2 linked regions of the Caenorhabditis elegans genome follow. The protein of the gene in region 1 interacts with the protein of each later gene in a pairwise test. Each region holds a gene or a part of one and is shown in the gene's direction. Other genes may lie near its edges.

Region 1 (3,476 bases):
ATTTGTGAGGATTTGACATCAAAGAAGGAATTAAGAGAGAAAAATTCGAATTTTTCAGGGGTTTTTTCATTGACAACAAAAAACGGGGAAACCAACAACAAAAAAGGTGGGAAAACAATGAATGGTAGATCAAAAAAATAGTGAGAAAAAAGATTAGAGCATGCTCTCAATCAGAGTATCTCTGAGCTGATTGCTGATGCTTGTCGGAGCTCCTTGCTCGCCGAGCTTGAAGATCGATTCGACGACGGACAGTTCGGTAGAAGTGGAGTCGAGTCCACAAAATGCGACCCAATCGTTGACGACCATACCGGCTCCGATGAGCTCGGATCCTCGGTTGCATGTTCCGGCGACGACTGGGATTTGAAGGAGAGCGGCGATTTCTCGTTGGGTCTCTGGTGGAGTACGGGCGGCCACGAGGCAACCGTTAGAGCTGAGAATGCAGTAGCTGCCGACGAGCGAGTTTTGGGCGAGACTGACACGGAATACTTCCACTTTGAGCACTTCGACGAGCGCCTGAAAGAGAAAATTTAGGAATTTTTGTAGTTTGTAGTGTGAACATTGTTAATTTCAGTATGTTAAGCCAAGCATTTGAATCAAAAATTAATAAGAAAGTTATGAAAATTGTCCGTTTCCGACTAAAGTTTGGGTCTTTTTCGAACTTTTGAACAAAAAATAAATATCATTTTCAGAACAATCGAACATTTTTCGACGATTCTTTACTAACTTTCGATTAAAAAAGTGGGAATATCACACTGAAAGTCGCAGTTCTGTAGGATTTCTCCTTACCTGCTCAGTTTCTGCGCTAATTTCTGCGTGAACAATAGCGACGTGGTCGTTACAAGCGATAACATTTCCCAAAGCGGAAAGACGCTCGTCAACTCTGCGAATTGCGACCTGAAAATTCAAATTTTAAATATTTATTCTCAATTTCCTGCCCGCATACCTCATCTGGAAGCGAGTTTCTCAAGTGTTGAAGCTCCTGATCAGTCGTGGCGTTTGGTACGAGAAGTCCGTGACGATTTCCGACTGTAAGTCTTCCGACAATTCTGGTCGAGGCGATCGACGTGTGCACGACTGGGATGAGATCGCTGAGCTCGGCCTCCAAAATACTGTAAAAGTTCTGAGTGCCACCGACGCCGACGAGGCAGTAGCTGTTGGTGAGGGTGCAGAACACACCGACATCGTTCGATCCTTCGTAATCGACGCGGAGAGCCATTTTCAACCGGGAAACTGGAATTTTTTTTGAAAATTAATTGATTTAATATCGAGAAAATAGTAAAAATTGATTGGAAAAACGAGAAAGAATGGGTGTTAGCAAGACAAATACAAACTACAAATGGGCGGAGCTTCGAAATGTTGTGCAATATTGAATAACAGGGAATTTTCATTTTCTATAGGCAGTTTTATATGAAATTACTTAAAAATGAACGAAAAATTCAATTTTTGAATTTTAAAACTCAAAAAGTCAATGAAAAACTTAAGATTAAAAGTTTTAGGCAGAGATTTTCAATTGAAAAATAAAATAAAATTAACGGAAATTTTTTGGTGCAAACACGCTCCACGGAACTCTACAAATTTGCGTTATTTCGGAGTGTCGTTGCGATGACTTTGAAAAATCTTTTTGTCAGCATTCCAACATTTTTCGAAGTTTTCCACCATTTTTCCTGCTTTTCTAGCGTATTTTTGATTAAAAATTTGTAGAAATTAAGTGGAAGTTCGCTATTGAATAGGTTATCTGCAGAAAATCACTTGTGAGACAGCAGAAATCAGGGAAATCGAAGTTTTTCGTTAATCAGTTTTTTCTAGATGGTTTTCCGTATTTTTCCTGTCATTTTTATTGTTTTTTTTTCTCAAAATGTTTTGTGAGATCTTTTCAAATACAACATTAATTCCAGAATGGCCACCGCTGACGTCAAATCCACCGTCCCACACATGGACATGGACCGTGGAGGCGCGTTCGACTTCTCCAACTGCATTCGTAATCAGGCAATGTGCAAGATGGGCGGAAAGGCTCCAAAGCTCACCAGTACCGGAACCACCATCGTCGCCGTTGCCTTCAAGGGCGGACTTGTGATGGGAGCTGATTCCCGTGCCACCGCCGGAAATATCATCGCCGATAAGCATTGCGAGAAGGTTCACAAGCTCACTGAGTCGATCTATGCCTGCGGAGCCGGAACCGCCGCCGATCTCGATCAAGTCACAAAGATGCTCTCTGGAAATCTCCGTCTTCTGGAATTAAACACCGGGCGCAAGGCTCGTGTGATCACCGCTCTTCGTCAAGCTAAGCAGCATCTTTTCAACTATCAAGGATACATCGGAGCCTACTTGCTCATTGGAGGAGTCGATCCAACTGGCCCACATCTTTATATGTGCTCCGCCAACGGAACTACAATGGCCTTCCCATTCACAGCTCAAGGATCTGGATCATATGCAGCTATCACTATTTTGGAGCGTGATTTTAAGGTTGATATGACGGTAAGTAGTCTATTTTTGAATTCCAATGCGCTAAAAATACTATAATTATATTTTTCAGAAAGATGAAGCCGAGAAGCTTGTCCAACGCGCCCTGGAAGCCGGTATGCACGGTGACAACGCCTCAGGAAACAGTTTGAATCTTGTGATCATCGAGCCAAGCGAGACCGTCTTCAAGGGGCCAATTGTGCCAGAATTCTGCAAGCGACCAGAGCCCAACGACCTCGTCTACAAATTCCAGGCCGGAGCCACCAAGGTGCTGAAACACAAGACCTACAAGTACGACGTCGTCGAGTCCATGGATATCACTCACTAAATTGCGGTCTTCTGTCGATGTGTGTATTCTTTCCCCCAATTATTTATTTTTTTTCGATTTTCCATCCGTTTCGGTGTCGTCGGTGATTACTTTTTTCGGTATTTTCGTATCCGCCGGCAGTTCTTATCACATTTGTTTTATAAATTCCGAATATAAACTGTCTATTTTCCTTAAAACTGGTATTGTTTGTTGTCTTAATTTGGACTGAAAGCCGGAAAAATGACTTGAAAAACGCTTTCAAGTGTTTTTCCCAATAGTAAAAGTTACTCTCCGGGTTTTAAAAGGAAAAAACTGCGAAATGAATAGATTTTCCAGATCTGAATTGAAAACTTTCTGCGAAAAACTAATTTCCACCTGAATTCTTCTCAAAAGTCAAGAGAGAAGAGTCAAAACTCACAAGAAAAAAATAATCCGATTTGAATTGCCGCGCAGAGAGTTAGATGTGCAGGTCATATAGCAAACACGCTCCACCCACCAATCATTGGCGCGAAACATTTTTTTGTATCTTGTTCTGACTCATTTCCCTGCCTTCCCCGTCGTAATCAGTGTCGTTTTTCCGAAAAATTCCAAATTTTATCATTATTTTATCAGTTTTCCATAGTTTACCCTCATTCGGCCGTGTTCCGGCCCTTTCAAAAATGTTTGTTTTCACGTAAAATCGAATTTTGAAGACGTGAAGCTTCTTCAA
Region 2 (3,507 bases), 4.3 Mb from region 1:
TTCCCCTCAAGCCCAGCAAATCTTAATTTTTCCTTATTTTCCATTATCTATTTTTCCTCATGAATCCCAGTTTTAAAAACAAGTAGCAGATTTTTTTTTGTTCTGAAACAATTCGCAAAAATTCCACAAAAAGTCCTTAAAAACAAACGAGTTCGTATTATAAAACTGTAACCTACCTTTTCCCAAAGTTGTTGTATTTCATTTTAATTATTTTAGAATGTGATTTTTCTACAATTCCCTTTTCATGATTCATCCTTTTTCTAGATTTAGTTATTGTCTCCCTTTACCATTTTTCTCGTTTTTGTCCATTAAATATGTTCATGATTAAATTTCAATGTCCGTATCTTTACAGAAGGTTTATGAATTTTTCAAAGTTACGAATTGTCAAAGAAACCAGAAAATCACAAAAAAGATTCAATTGAAAAAATAAAGAATTATTTACTGTCCAGTGTCCTTACGAGCTGTTGCACGGAACGCTCGTTCTTTTTCAAACTGGCGATTATCAGCTCGGTTTAAGAAGTCCATTTTGTTCAGATAACCGCCTTTCCCTCGGTTATGAGATTCCAAATCTTCCTGAAAAACAAACAATTTATTCAAAAACCTTAAACTTAAAGAAACATACTTTTAAATTATTTTGCGTCGTAAAATCTTTCCAATCTCGATCAGATTTCTCCAAAACAGAAATTTTAGAACGCTTCGACAGTGATTTTGCAGCATCAAGCAAGCCGACTCTTTTCTTTCCGGGTACAATGCTACTTTCAGACGATGTTCCAGCTGTTTCCGTTCTGAAAAAAATTATTAGAAAAATAAGAAAAAGTTGTTTTTAAATTTGTATCAAATAAAAACTCATGTCAACTCACTTTTTCGGATAAACCTTCTGATTTGTAGACTCGTTGGATGCAGATCTGTAAAATACATTTTTAAAAGTTATTTCTACTTGTTTCAAACATACGCTGCTGATTTTGGATACACCCTTTCTTCAGTTTTTGGAATATTCTTGCTTGATGTATCGTTGACAACTGGTTTCGGTGCTAGCCCAGTTAATTCTGCAAATATCGCATCCACATCAACACTTCCTTCAGTACTGTTTGCCTTTTCTGATGTATGGTCGTCACTTTGTTTTTCATTTTTCAGATGTTCAACTTCTTCGTCAATTCCATCTTCGCATTCTTCTTGATCATCGATCTGTTGAGGAGAATGAGCAATAAAAGGGCGATATCTAGGAATGCTTACTTCATCCTTTGGATCAAAATCGGTATCCTTTGTTGGATCGTAATCTTCATCGGACGATGAGTTGTAGTCTTCTTCGTTATTTTTAAGCTCCGAGGTCATTTTTCTGAAACAATTTATATTTTAAATAGTTTCACAATTTCAGTGAGAATTCAAAAGAATAAAATATGAATTAATATATTTATAAAATATGAATTAATTTATATTATAATATTATCTCAAAAAAAGTAGCGCGAGATAATTTTTCTTATTGAAGTACGCAATTGTGCGTGGTATTCAGTGTAAAATTCGACGGAGCGCACATGCTTTATGATGACTTAGCCGCCATTTTTGCATTTCATTGTCGAAATTCACTTCCTTTCATTTTTTCAAAGCACTCCCTTCAAAAACTTCATTTATATTGTTTCAGAACCAAAATGAATGCTCACGACGAAGTCCAGCGCACACTGTAAGTCATTAAACCTATATTCGTTTGAATTAACTCAATTTTTCAGGAATCCTACTTGTACCGGAACATCGGTTATCGCTCTCCAGTATAAAACTGGGGTTGTTGTCCTTACTGATCGAGTTGTTTCCTATGGAAAAATGGCTCGTTACAAGGTTTGAATTTCCGTTCAGCTGAAAGTGGATTTTCATAATATTTGTTTCCAGAATGTTTCTCGTCAATACAAGGTCAATGATAATGTTCTCATTGCCTTCGGAGGAGATCACGCTGACTTCCACTGGCTTCAAAATGTGATCGAGCGTCAGGTTCTTCTCTGGAAGCGCTTCGATCAGGATATTGGACCAAAAGCTCTCCACGGATACCTCACAAGCCTTCTCTACGCCAAGTCTGTTTTCCTAATTAAATTGAAAGTTTAAGTAAAAAATTTCAGACGTTGCAAGATGAACCCAGTGTGGAACACACTTGTTGTCGCCGGAGTCGAAGAGGAGGAGAAGAACAACAAGGAGACTAGCACACCTTTCATCGGTGTCATTACTCAGAAGGTAAACTTGAAAGCGTTAACTTGCCGGATCAGAATCTCATGATTAAATAATCACATAATAATTATTCTAAATTTCAGGGATGCGCATATCAAGTGAAGCACATTGCAACTGGACTTGGAGCGTTCCTCCTCAACCAAGCTGTTGAAGATGAGTGGAGAAAGAAGGGAGAAGACCTCTCCCGTGAAGAGGCAGAAGCCGTGCTTCGCAAATCGCTTGAACTTACTCTCTACCACGACTGCGTCGCTGACAATGAGTTCGAAATCGGACGTGTTGATGCGACAGAAGGTGTCGTTTTGGGTAAAGAAGAGAAGATTATTGGTGACTGGTCGATTGCCGAGACTAACTGTCAATATGAATAAGTTTTCCCCGGTGTGCAGGATGCGTTTCAGTATCTCCATGTTTAACTTATTTGTATCCTTCTTTTCAAAACATTTTACTCTCTCCAACCCACGTTTTCGGTGTAAATTTTATTTATTTTCGCGTGAAGTCGATAAATAAACTTCCATTTAATCCTTCTATTCACGTCTAAGTATTCACACGCATCATTTCACAAGTGCTCGAGTCAAAAATAGCGAGCATGAATTTCTCTGGTTTAAAAAGTATGATGAGTTTTTGGTTTAAAGTAAAATCGAGCGCTTTCAGGTAAACTCCAAAAGCTCAGTTTATCACCATCGCCTGATAAACAGAAATCTGATTATGAAAAGAAACAGGCGAAGAAGATGAGCTACAAAAAGAAGATGCAGCAGCGGTATAAACTGAGTGATGATCAGTATGAAACTCACAAGTAATTAAATAAATTGATGTATATGTAATAACTTATCTGATTTGGTTTCCAGGAAGGATGCTCAGAAACAACTGAAAAATTGGGAAGAATTTCGAAAGGAGCAAGTAGTTGAAATCTTTCATACGCAGTCTCAATACGTTTCGAAATCGAAAAATTCAGACGTGGTAAGCATACAGTATATATATATATATATCTCGCCGCGCAAAGGAAGTGCTTAATTACGGTTTTTACTATCCATCTAAAAAGTTAAAAAGAAATACATTATTTCTTGAAATTCAGCGCCATCCAAAGATGCAACGAGCCAATACGGTTGTCAATCGTCAAGGAGTGAAAGTTGATGTAGAATTTGGACGATTGAAAGAATACTACTTATCCACTTTGGCTCCACAAAAAAAGTTTGTGTCGATTCGTGATCACGTAACATAGAGATTATAGAGAAATTTACTTTAACCATGAACTTTAGGCAGCTCGTGAAAAGGAACTGGACGCTCTTCGTAAGAAACAGA

Evidence for each region.
Region 2: the proteins of pbs-2 (region 1) and pbs-7 interact in a two-hybrid assay, tested with the Caenorhabditis elegans proteins (2 studies listed by BioGRID).

What each region holds. Positions count from the first base shown.
Region 1 is NC_003279.8:12,966,700-12,970,175, reverse strand, and holds pbs-2 (Proteasome subunit beta), read left to right. Parts: upstream 1-1,895; 5' UTR 1,896-1,896; coding exon 1,897-2,475; intron 2,476-2,533; coding exon 2,534-2,788; 3' UTR 2,789-2,960; downstream 2,961-3,476. Other genes in the region: eif-6 (Eukaryotic translation initiation factor 6), read right to left, coding at 154-513, 787-894, 944-1,216.
Region 2 is NC_003279.8:8,694,432-8,697,938, reverse strand, and holds pbs-7 (Proteasome subunit beta), read left to right. Parts: upstream 1-1,637; 5' UTR 1,638-1,646; coding exon 1,647-1,678; intron 1,679-1,724; coding exon 1,725-1,830; intron 1,831-1,881; coding exon 1,882-2,060; intron 2,061-2,105; coding exon 2,106-2,217; intron 2,218-2,294; coding exon 2,295-2,576; 3' UTR 2,577-2,734; downstream 2,735-3,507. Other genes in the region: F39H11.1 (Craniofacial development protein 1), read right to left, coding at 439-573, 623-785, 861-905, 953-1,185, 1,234-1,332; K07A12.5 (Pre-mRNA-splicing factor SYF2), read left to right, coding at 2,795-2,816, 2,860-3,001, 3,054-3,165, 3,281-3,418, 3,465-3,507.